3 linked regions of the Sus scrofa genome follow. The protein of the gene in region 1 binds, or shares a complex with, the protein of each later gene. Links are inferred from orthologs where the notes say so. Each region holds a gene or a part of one and is shown on either strand. Other genes may lie near its edges.

Region 1 (3,957 bases):
TCATGGATGCTAGTCAGGGTCTAAACCCACTGAGCCACTATAGGAACTCCCCGACCCAATATTCAATGACAGAATCTTACGACCAAAACAGAAAAACAAAGATTTTGTTATATTTTGGTTATTTTAAAAACCAAACAAAGTTGTGAAGAAATCAGAAGGTAATCAAACCATATCCAATCCAATGGATATTTTATTTTATATTTGAGACAATACATAGTGTTTTATTTAATATTAAGCAACAATCTTAAATGTTCAGGATATTCTCCAACACCCAAGTATACTTTAGCAAAATAAATGCATATTGAAATTTTAAATAATTTGAATTAAGCAACAAAATTCCATATCAGCAGGGTAGTATGAGAATATGAAGCCAAGGGCGTTCCCGTCATGGCTCAGCAGAAGTGAATCTAACGAGTATCCATGAGGATGCAGGTTGGACCCTGACCTCACTCAGTGGTTAAGGATCTGGCATTGCCATGAGTTGTGGTGTAGCTCACAGACACAGCTCCGATCTGGTGTGGCTGTGGTTTAGGCCAGGGGCTACAGCTACAGCTCCCATTCGACCCCCCACCTGTGAACCTCCATATGCCGTGCGTGCAGCCCTAAAGACAAAAAGAATATGAAGCCAACAAGTCAAACCAGTTTTTACCTCTTTGCTGTAGGCTAGAAAATATGAAACTTCATTCAATTTTAATGTATATCATGGAGAATTCAAAGATAAATAAGACATGAGGCCTGAAGAAGGTGTAAGAAGACAGGTTTTTACAAATAAAAATATATAGTATGACATGTAAAACAATCAATTTTACTAGGATGTTATAAAAAAACACAAATATAACACATATGAACTTATTTTATTTAATCCTTATGAAAGCTTTTTAAGTTATGCATTGTTATTACCACCAATTAACAGATGGGGAACCAAGGCCCAGAAAGGTTAAGTAAAATTTCCAAAGTCACTCAGCAGTGAAAAAGTTTGAGCAAAATCAAATGGTTCAGTTTGGCCCAAGAACATGGTACTCAAATATTAGCGTGTGTAATATTTGGTGCTTGGATTTCAAATGGAGGAGCGTTACTGCTGGTTCAAGAAGTCTGGACTTTATTATGCAGATGGCAATAAGTTACTGCAGCAGTATCAGGCATGGCTAAGATTACTGAAGCATGTGTAAATCAATCCATTACGCTGTACATCTTGAACTTACGTAGTGCTGTAGGTCAATTTTATCTCAAAAAAACTGGGGGAAAAAAAAGACTACTTTGGCAATGATTTTTAAGAGGGGTAGGAAGAATATGATTGGGCCAGGGTATCTCAACCTTGGCATACTGACATCTGGGACCAGATAATTCTGTTGTTGAGTGATGTCCAGTGCACTGTAGAATATTTAGCAGGAACCCTGGCCTCTACCTACTAAATGCTGGTAGAACCAGACTCTCTACACCACAGTTAAGAACCACAGAATTATATTAAAAGCAGACGGAAGATATAAAAATGCAAAAAAAAAAAAAGATTTCGGGCCTCGTGGGTGGCATGCGGAAGTTCCTGGGCTAGGGACTGAACTTGAACCACAGCAGTGCCATGTTGGATCCTTAACCGGCTGAGCCACGAGGGAACTCCAAAAAAAGATGGTAAGGAAGAAAAAGTTAAAAGTCATTTTGGAGGTAGACCTGGCAGGATCTCACAATTATTGAAATCTACATATAAGAAAAGAAAGGTAATTAAAAACTCTCATTAATATCTTAAGAATCAAAAAGGAAATCTTACCAAGAACACCCCCCCAACAAAAGAGCCTTCTCTAATTAGAGAAAAATGAATGTTCTCACGCATTCCAGTTAACAGAGCAAAATATCACACATTCAAGTTCAACCTAAGTGCAAGAAATTAAGAAAAAAGAACGGGATTTCTTTTTTTTTTTTTGTCTTTTTGCTATTTCTTTGGGCCGCTCCCGCGGCATATGGAGGTTCCCAGGCTAGGGGCTGAATCGGAGCTGTAGCCACTGGCCTACACCAGAGCCACAGAAACGCGGGATCCGAGCCGAGTCTGCAACCTACACCACAGCTCACGGCAACGCCGGATCCTTAACCCACTGAGCAAGGGCAGGGACCGAACCCGCCACCTCATGGTTTCTAATCGGATTCGTTAACCACTGCGCCACGACGGGAACTCCCAAGAACGGGATTTCTAAGTTAAAGCTCAAAGGAACCACCAACACACTAAGATGAAGGCAGCTTTTGAATTTCTCATATACCATCAAAACAATTCCATTCCATCCACCTCCTTAGTTCCTTACAGAATTACTGTCCAACCACCTTATCTCGAACGTGATGCTACTCAAGGCGTTCAGCTAACTGTGGTATTCAAGATCTTTAAGTAACGAAGGATCGAGTGCCAGAGACCCGGCCAGGAACTCCGGCCTGGGAGGCAAACCTGCAGACGGAGGGGCCTTTACGTCTTTGAAAAGCATGCCCACCAGGCCGAAATACAACATTTGCGCGGGATGCAGGCCCGGAAACGTGGGACGGTGGCCCGGATCGCGGCGGCAGCCAGTGGCAATAAGCACGGCAGACACACTCTCCGGAAATGGCTGGGGATCCAAGGAACTCAAGGCCTACAAAGAAGCCGCCATTTATGCGCGGCCCTCATGCATACTTACTTCTTCAACTCCGGCGGGTGAGCTTTGCTCATGATGCCTACTCCGCGAACTCAAAGAAACCTCCAAACGGAATTCGTGTTCTCCCTCACGCTCCAGCGGTAGGCCCGGTGCTTTGCGTCTGACGTCACTGATCCCGTTAGCCAATTGATTGTTGGCCGCTTTCACGTTTCACGTCGCGATACTTAGGAAAATCCTGAGCTCGCAGATCAGTCCCAAGCTTCCGTTGTGTCGCCAGGGATTGGCTAGAGCGGAGGGGTGGGGCCTCCAGTCTTTATATTCCTCTTTGTAATTGGGTTGCTGTTCCTGCCTCTAGCATTTGAAGGACGCTGGTTAACTCATTGTCTTTGTGGGTTGCAAAGTTGTCTTGACGCTACCAGATGAAAATAAGCTCTGGAGGGGTAGGCTCCTAAAAATTTCTTTGGCATGTGTGTGCATACTTCCATGTGTTGTTCTTCCCTTTGTTGTCCTCTGCAAACACTGCGGTTTTTTTTTTTTTGGTCTTTTTAGGACCGAACCCTCCGCATATGGAAGTTCCCAGGCTGTGGGTCAAATCTGCGCTGCAGCTGCTGGCTTTTGCCATAGACAAAGCAACGCTGGATTCTTAACCTACTGAGCGAGGCCAGGAATCAAACTAGTATCCTCATGGATACTAGTCCGGTTCTTAACTCCCTGAGCCACATCGGGAACTCGTTTTTTTTTTTTTTTTAATTTAGCAAATTGAAGGTTTGAGGCAGCCCAGAGTCCAGCAAATCTCCCAGCGCCATTTTCCCAAGAGCATTTGTTCACTTTGTGTCTGTGTCATTTTGATAATTCTTACAGTATTTCAAATTTTTTCATTACTGTATTCGTTATGGTGATCTATGATAGGTAATCACACTAAGAAAAAAAAAATCTTGTGACTTGCTTTGAGGTATTTGCTTCACTGTTGAACCTGTGGTATTTTAGTATTCCCACAGGATGTCATGCTACAACTAAGGTTCTAGTAACAGCTCAGTTAACGACCTCTGCACCAAAGGAATAGAGTGAGGGGGCCTCAGTTTCCAAAAATTTTAATCTAGAGGAGTTCCCGTCGTGGCGCAGTGGTTAACGAATCCGACTAGGAACCGTGAGGTTGCGGGTTCGGTCCCTGCCCCTGCTCAGTGGGTTAACGATCCGGCGTTGCCGTGAGCTGTGGTGTAGGTTGCAGACATGGCTCGGATCCCGCGTTGCTGTGGCTCTGGCGTAGGCCGGTGGCAACAGCTCCGATTCGACCCCTAGCCTGGGAACCTCCATATGCCGCGGGAGCGGCCCAAAGAAATAGCAAAAA
Region 2 (3,965 bases), on another chromosome or scaffold:
GTTTCCAGACCTGTCCAGCTCCCACCCCCACCCCACCCAGTGCCTACCCAAAAACTTCATGTCATTTGAAGGAGGAAAAGACTCTGAGTGGAGGTGGGGAAGAAGTCAGACAACATGAAGGGCAAAGACCTCCTTCTGACAGACTTATTTTAGGGCACCGGGCTGCATGCAGCTGACGCTTGGCATGACTTTGGTAGAAGTGGGGGGAGGGGCTAGAAGTATGGGGAGCTGTGTACATTGCAGGGAAATATTGGCCAGGCTGAGAACGAACAGACCTGAAATCCTGAAATGAGACAAGGAACCAGACTCAAGGAAAGTCAGGCTCCCAGCGCCCACTATAGTTTATTTGTGAACTGAATGGGGAAAGAGTGTCAGTCCAAGGGGAGATCAGGGGGTTCCTCTTCATCAGAATCAAACTCAACATTCTCATCTTTTATCCATCGACCTTGTCCATCTGGGATCCATCCAGAACTGGAAATATCAGAACAAACAGAATCGATCAGGAAAGGAAATGTGTTAAGAATTTAGTAGCGGAGTTCCCTGGTAGCTCGGTAGTTTATAGATCTGCATTGTCACTGCTGTGGCACACTTCTGCATGCTGTGGGCATGGCCTCCCGCCCCCCCCAAAAGCTAGTAGGGATAAGTAATATTTGAGGTTTGAAAAAAGGAGAGCCAGAGAGAAAAGGGACAATCTGAGGAAAGTGATTCCGTACACTCACCTTCGAAGGGTGAGATAATGATCCAGAGCCCGTCTTCTTGTGGGGCTCATAGGTGCAGGGGATGAGACAGTGGCTGATTCCTTGGTTTGTGATGCAGCCGCAGGCTCAAGTTCCCTACTGATCCTCTCACTTTGGGATTCAACCTCTGGGGGTGAAAAAGCGGAACGAGAGACAGAGGGACGAGGGGCTTCTGGTCTGGGTAGAGAAGAATCAAAGTCTGTAAAAGCAGTAAAGGAAAGGACCAAATCTCCTGTAACTCCCAACCCCTTAAAGCAGTGCTTCCTAAACTGTATTCCTCAAGATATTAACAGGTGTTCTGCATAAAAAGGATTTTGGAATCAAATGAACTTAAGGAAAGCCTAAGTTAGTTTTTTCAGCTTTTTTTTTTTTAAGACTGTGTAGAACCCTGAAAATATACTGTTACTATTCTTTTTTTTGGTCTTTTTAGCGCTGCACTGTGGCATATGGAGGCTCCCAGGCTAGGGGTGAATGCAAGCTACAGCTGCCAGCCCTTACCACAGCCACAGTAACATGGGATCCGAGCTGTGTCTGCAACCTACACCACAGCTCACAGCAACACTGGATCCTTAACCCACCAAGCAAGGCCAGGGATCAAACCCTCATCTTCATGGATGCTGGTCGGGTTTGTTCACCGCTGAGCCATGATGGGAACTCGTAATATTACTATGCGTCAAACAGGATTACAAAATCCTATTTCCCAAACAAAATTCTTTTTTCCTGAAATTCAAGTTAGCATTTCCAGAACACTAGTATTCCTCAGAATCCAATTTGGAAAACAGTACTTTAGAGCGATCGATCTCCTGTTCCTCCCTACTTCTGGATTACCCACCCCACAGACCTGTTCTTTCGGCGGCAGCAACTGTTATAGTGAGGAGCTCTGTGCAGAGCACTCTGGGTAATAAGTCGAGTCTGGGTTAACAGAGGAGCCTGGCATGGAGATGGGAGACAAAGTCAGAACCTTCAGAGCTAGAAAGAATCCAGAGCCTTCAAGCCTAAGGTGTGCAGCCTGGAACACACCCTCCCCTCTCTGATTACCTCTGCTTTGGTCTCTTCTCTCCTCAATTCATTCTGTTGTCTTGGATTTGGCTCCAGGCCCTTTCCTGGGTGCTTCTTGCCATAGAAAAGCTGCAGGCCTCAGGAGAAAGGGAAAGAGAATTAAAAGGAGGGCACCCAGAGTGAATAAACCCTTTAAGGGTTTATTCTCTATGCTCTGTCTTCCCACAAACTTACTGGACAGATGTTTCTTGCCTGCACGGTGGGCAGTCAACATGGCCAGGGTGTCCAGTACCGGTCGGTGAGGACAGATGGCACAAGCAAAGCTAGAGAGGAGGAGAGAAGATAATTGGTTCCTGGGGAGTGGAGTCTCTGCCATAGGTTCCACCACAGCCTAGAACTCCTTTCCAAAGCCCAAATCCCAAGTCTCCCAGTCTCCACCACCAACATCCCTGTTACTCACTCCCCGCCAAAGATTCCTTGTTCTTTCCAATCTGCTTAATAACAAAAGTTTGTTGAGCCTCTAACCGCAGAACCCCCAGGCTTGATCCACTCCTAGTCCTCACCGTCCATCCCGTAGCATCAACGCCTCATCCTCTGGGATGTAACTCGCCAGCAGGTCCCCGACTCTCCGTTTCTGCAGGGAACAAGGGAAGAAATGAGGACGGGGTCAGCTGGATATGAGGGAGGAACAAAAAGGAAATGACAAGGACGAGGACTCAAAGGGAATAAAGGCCACAAGAAGGGTAGAGATCTGGGCTGAAGAAGGGGTGTCGGCCCAGTTCCAATCGTCTGGCTTCCTCCGCCCCCCTCCCCCGAGTTGTTGCCACAGCAACAAAACAGCTCCCTCACAGCCTTCAGACGGCAACTGAAGCTGCTCCAGATGCTCTCCTCTCGCGCTTACTTTGAGCACATTGAGTTGACTCCAATCGTCCCCTTCCCTCTTGAAAGACATCACGACTGTGAGAGCCCCAGAAATATAAGTTTTATCGCGCCGCGTTCGCCACTCCTTTCAGGCCACCGTAGCAAGAGTGGGACGTCTCCTTTCTTTCCTGTCTCTTTCCGGTTGGCCCCCTTACTTCCGGGATGCGCTTCCACGCATGCGCCGCGCGATCCCGAAAACCCGCCTCTAGCCCATAGAGGGGACTGCATTTCCTATGGTGCTCTGCGACCCCGCCGGCGCGGAGCCTTTTGGGAAATGAAGTCTTTTTTCAAAGAGCTTGCCGCCCTGCCCGATTCAGGCCCTTGCATCTTGGCAGATTAGAGGCGTTTGGAGAAAGAGGAACCTAGCTGTGGATCCCGAGTTTGAGAGTGTGACTGATTTGATGCGGAGCGTACCTTTGAGGATCTCTCAGGGGAAAGTGTGCTACAGATTCTCGCGGTCATCACGCCCTTCGCCTGAGGCCACAGCCCACCTGGAGTGGGCCTGATTAGTTCCCGACCCTAGCGACCAAGCCCGGGACGCGCGGAATCGGGGTTGGGGGCTGGGAGGTCTGGCGGACCGACCTGGGGGCAAACTCTGTAGTGTAGAGGAGGGTGTCTAGTGGTCAAAGGTCAGAGGTCAATGTCGCGAGTTGTGGGGGATCGAAAGTCGGAGGGGTACTAAGGAGAAACTCAGGTAGGGACTGAACAGTCAGGTTACAGGTTTGTGGGAAAAGGCCTTGGAAGGCGGGGAAGCCAGGAGTCAGAGGTCGCCTAGTGGGGGGAAGGCGGAGAGACTTAGGAGAGAACACAGAAAGGGAAAGGAATCCTCCAGATTTTCATTCCCAGACCCCGGGCCTGTCACTATCGGTCACTTGGCCGGGCCTCCCGCAGTTGCAACTCCAGTTGTCCGCAGGGTGAGGAGATGGCCTCTCCCTCTAGACAGGCCCCCCTCGGGGGGTCAGGACTGCTTCAAGGGAGCCGGGCTCGTTCTTATGGAAGCCTTGTGCAGTCTGCCTGCTCCCCGGTGAGGGAAAGACGCCTGGAGCATCAGTTGGCGCCCGGAGACACCCTGGCTGGACTAGCACTCAAATACGGGGTGACGGTGAGTCTTCCAGGATTGGGACGCAGACACTCAGAAAAGATTTATTCCTCATGAGGATATAGTGGCCCTCTGGGCAACTTCACCTGAAATTTTCCTAATTGTGTCTAAATTAGTTAATTGTGATAAATTAATTGACAAGGGTCCCATCTCGTGTTGCACTGTCTGGTTGAGACAAATCCTGTCTCAATATCCCGGTGGAGGTGAGC
Region 3 (4,231 bases), on another chromosome or scaffold:
TAGTCTAAGAAATGAGTTCCAGCTTCTTTTTTGATTCTGTCATATTCAAGGATTGCAAATATTTATATAAAGTCCACTTAGAGGTCAGCTTTTCTATTCTTATTTCCAGGCAGGTATTCCTCAACCCAGCCGTTCTTCTTTTTTTTTTTTTTTTTGGCAGCACCCATGGCATATGGAAGTTCCCGGGCCAGGGAACGAAGCCGAGCCAAAGCTGTGGCATGGCCAGATCCTTAACCCATTGCACCACATTGTGAACTCCAACCCAGGCCTTCTTTAAGGCATGCAAATAAGGGAGGCTTTATCCACATCAGTCATCCTATACTAAAGCTCATAATCCTTAAGGCTGTTTTTGTCAATTTTTTTTTTTTTTTTTTTTTTTTTGTCTTTTTAGGGCTACATCTTCAGAAGTTCTCAGGCTAGGGGTCCAAACGAGCTGTGGCTGCTGGCCACAGCCACAGCCACAGAGGATCTGAGCCTTGTCCATGAGCTATATCACAGCTCACAGCAAAGCCGGATCCTTTAACCCACTGAGGGGACCAAGGATCAAACCCGAATCCTCATGGTGACTAGTCAGGTTTGTTACCACTGAACCACAATAGGAACTCGCTCTCACAATTCTCTGTAGTCACATTCATCCTAGTGGGAATTCTGTACTCAGATATTTTTCTCTTATGTTCTACAGGGCCTCTGTCATAAATATTCTCTCAGTTCAGAAAAGATTACTTTCATTTTGGATGTACTCTCTTTCCACTTCTATTTTTCTCCTGTTTAGCTTAACAGAGAAAACACCATCATAAAAGACTCTCTAGAACAATCTTTAAATGCAAATTAATACGATTCTTCTTCTTCCTTTTTTTTTTTTTTTTTTGCTACTGTACGTTCTGGGGCCAGGGATGGAACGTGGACGACACAGAAGCATCTCAAGCTGCTGCAGTGACAACACTGGATTCTTAACCCACTGAGCTACAAAAGAACGCTTCAAGATGTTTTAAGATGGAGTTCCTGTCATAGGATAGTGGTTAACGAATCCGACTAGGAACCATGAGGTTGTGGGTTCGATCCCTGGCCATGCTCAGTGGGTTGAGGATCCGACGTTGCTGTGGCTCTGGCGTAGGCCGGCGGGTACAGCTCCGATTAGACCCCTAGCCTGGGAACCTCCATATGCAGCCCAAGAAATGGCAGAAAGAAGAAAAAAAAATTACACTGTACCTTTTAGGAGAAAAGATATCCAGAAAGAAGAAAAAAAAATTACACTGTACCTTTTAGGAGAAAAGATATCTTAAAACTTTTTTTGCCCCCCTTGGGCCGCTCCCACGGCATATGGAGGTTCCCAGGCTAGGGATCTAATCGGAGCTGTACCCGCCGGCCTACGCTAGAGCCACAGCAACGTGGGATCCGAGCCGAGTCTGCGACCTACACCACAGCTCACGGCAACGCCGGATCCTCAACCCACTGAGCAAGGCCAGGGATCGAACCCACAACCTCATGGTTCCTAGTCGGATTCGTTAACCACTGAGCCACGACAAGAACTCCGGTACAGTCTAATTAACTTCTGCATTCTTGGTAGGTTTATCCTCTATAAGACCTGTTGCTAAACAGTGTATTTAATTTTGGTATAACCATATGAAGCTAGTGAAGTCATGAAACTAGGAGTAAAAGATTTTGTGTCTTACTGACATGTTATATAATAAATCTATGATGGCTCTATTTACCCATCATGAGACAGCACTATAGCTTATCAATTTCAACATGCTAACTGTTCAATGCTCAAAAGAAGGGTATTCAGACAACATAGGGAGTGAAGAAAGAGCTCTTCCATTTACTAACCTTCTGTCAAGCAATTCCTCTGAGCCTCAGTTCATTCATCTTACAAAAGGAGGACAACTGCCATAGCTATCTGGCACTTAATTCATTCAGTAAGTATTTACTGCACAACAACTAAGTGTTAATGTAGTGGGATACTGCCAAGGATACATACAACAGTGAACAAAAGAGACAAGAATCCTCACCTTAGAGGGCTTATATTCCACTAGAACTGAATCATAGATTAGAAAGTTTAAGCCGTTTGAAAATCCAAAGCAATAAACGGGGTACCACTCTATAAACGAACCGTATGCCCAAGCACTATACTTATGTACTCAATTTCAACCCATTCCCTCCATAATATAACGTGCAGACTAAACAGTCAGTGGGCAAAAATCAAACTTCCAAATAGTAACTAGCTTTGTCATTAATCAGACGTTCAACAATAACTGCGTGGGGCGGGGTGGGGGTGGTTACGGTGTGGAGGGAGAGAGAGGAAGGCAGAATGATCTCAATGAGCAGGTAGCAGAATCTAATCTTCTGAAGGAATTCCTTACTTCGTGCTCTTCTTTGCTACAAGTCGAATTTCCTCCCTTAAACCCTATCCTTTGCTTTTTGCTCTCTCCATCTCTCTGACCGGACCCTTTCCCCACCTTGTTCTACCCAAACTCATCTCAGAGGTAGTCTCCTCACCCTGTCCCTTTCCCGCCCCCGCCCTTTTCCTCTCAACAATCTCATTCCAACCCGTTCTCGCACAGAACCTGGTTCTTTCCTCAGCCTCCTTTCTGTTGAACCTCCCGCCTCGGTCCTCCCTTTGGACTGAAACTTAGCCCCAGCCGCTAGGACCCGAGCATACCCTCTCTGGGCCCGGGGCCACTACTCACCTCACAAACTTCAGCCCCTGAGACGGAGCCCGAACGTTACACCGGAACCGGAAACCCTCCGACCGCCCTACGGCCTGCCGTCGCTACCGCCACGGCTGCTGCCTCGCCACGGTCCCACAACTTGTGACGAAAGAGGGCGGGGCCCCGGTTCGCGCAGCCGTAGTAGCTACTTTTCCGCGGCGGAGCGCATGCGTGGCGGAGCCGTAACGATTTCCCCCGGCAAGCTACTTGGCTCCTTCGGTTCCCCGTGCTAAACCTGTTAACTACATTAGCGCAAAATTAATGTTACCTGAAGCATAAATTGAGCTGCTTGTAGTATTCCCGTGGAGAATAAGTGCGCTAAGGCTATGGCTAGAACTAAAAGCAGAGCTTCTGCGTTTGGGCTAAACCTGGACTTTCTGGTAGGAAGTAAACTTCAGAGTAGTGATCGTTAGTATTAACCACTCTCTCCTTAGCCTTTGTCCTTAACAGTGGTGCCAAGAGACCCAGAAAACCGACTAGTGTGGGAGGAGTCTGAAGATAGTACCCTCTCACACACCTTTGTTTCTTTCTTCCATTCATTCGCAAAACAAATAATTGCTGGCAGTCTAGTACTTTTTAGGCCCCACCTGCAGCATATATAAATTCGGGTTAGGGGTTGAATCAGAGCTGCAGCTTCTGGCCTATGCCACAGCCACGCAGAATCAGAGCTAGGACTGTGACCTACACCACAGCTCAGGGCAACACTGGCTCCTTAATCCACTGGGCAAGGCCAGGGATGGAACCTGTGTTCTCATGGATACTAGTGGGGTTCTTTACTCGCTGAGCCAGGACAGGAATTCCTAATCAACCATTTTGGTCCTCAACTAATCCTTACCTAACAAGCACCTTTACTTCTTGCCAGCTCCAATTATAATTCTTTTCTTTTTTTTTCTTCCTTTTTACGGCCTAACTTGCAGAATACAGAAGTTGCTGGTCTAGAGGTTGAATCGGAGCTGCACCTGCTGGTCTGTGCCACAGCCACAGCCACACTGGATCTGAGCCGCACCTGTGTTCTACACTGCAGCTTGCTGCAACACTGGATCCTTAACCCACTGAGCAAGGCCAGTTTGATGTGGGATCAAACCCACATCCTCGTGGATACTAGTTCTTAACCCCAATTATAATTCCTCCAATTATAATTTTTAATAAACAACTTATTTAACTACCTGTAAGCTTGTAAGCCTCCCCAATTTTGTAGTCCAGCAGAACACGATTCAAGTGCTTCTTAAACCTGTGTCTCCCTCAGTAAAGAACTTATATAAAGCTAAACTCATGAAGTTCCCACTGTGGCCCAACAGGATCACAGCATCTCTGCAGTGTTGGGATGCAAGTTTGATCCCTGGCCTGGCACAGTGGGTTAAGGACCTGGTGTTAGGCTGCAGTTGGCCCAGGAACTCCATGGCTTTCCATATTACTTAGTGAAAAATGCCCTACACTCCATTACTTCTGTGATCTCACTTGTTTTTTGTTGTTGTTGTTGTACCCGAGGCATGTAGAAGTTCCTGGGTCAGGGATTGAACTCA

The links. The genes of interacting proteins can lie anywhere in the genome.
Region 2: SNRPG (region 1) and SCNM1 share a complex: the UniProt entries of both Homo sapiens proteins name them as parts of the minor spliceosome. The link is inferred for Sus scrofa from reciprocal best matches to the Homo sapiens genes SNRPG and SCNM1.
Region 3: SNRPG (region 1) and PRPF3 share a complex: the UniProt entries of both Homo sapiens proteins name them as parts of the U4/U6-U5 tri-snRNP complex. The link is inferred for Sus scrofa from reciprocal best matches to the Homo sapiens genes SNRPG and PRPF3.

Annotation. Positions count from the first base shown.
Region 1 is NC_010445.4:72,197,570-72,201,526, reverse strand, and holds the start of SNRPG (small nuclear ribonucleoprotein G), read right to left. Parts: upstream 2,806-3,957; 5' UTR 2,684-2,805; coding exon 2,652-2,683; intron 1-2,651. UniProt on the Homo sapiens protein: Plays a role in pre-mRNA splicing as a core component of the spliceosomal U1, U2, U4 and U5 small nuclear ribonucleoproteins (snRNPs), the building blocks of the spliceosome.
Region 2 is NC_010446.5:98,079,568-98,083,532, forward strand, and holds SCNM1 (sodium channel modifier 1), read right to left. Parts: upstream 2,808-3,965; 5' UTR 2,689-2,807; coding exon 2,638-2,688; intron 2,371-2,637; coding exon 2,300-2,370; intron 2,060-2,299; coding exon 1,971-2,059; intron 1,874-1,970; coding exon 1,776-1,873; intron 1,668-1,775; coding exon 1,579-1,667; intron 915-1,578; coding exon 720-914; intron 472-719; coding exon 372-471; 3' UTR 277-371; downstream 1-276. Other genes in the region: LYSMD1 (lysM and putative peptidoglycan-binding domain-containing protein 1), read left to right, coding at 3,580-3,759. UniProt on the Homo sapiens protein: As a component of the minor spliceosome, involved in the splicing of U12-type introns in pre-mRNAs. Plays a role in the regulation of primary cilia length and Hedgehog signaling.
Region 3 is NC_010446.5:98,768,918-98,773,148, forward strand, and holds the start of PRPF3 (U4/U6 small nuclear ribonucleoprotein Prp3), read right to left. Parts: upstream 2,808-4,231; 5' UTR 2,688-2,807; intron 1-2,687. UniProt on the Homo sapiens protein: Plays a role in pre-mRNA splicing as component of the U4/U6-U5 tri-snRNP complex that is involved in spliceosome assembly, and as component of the precatalytic spliceosome (spliceosome B complex).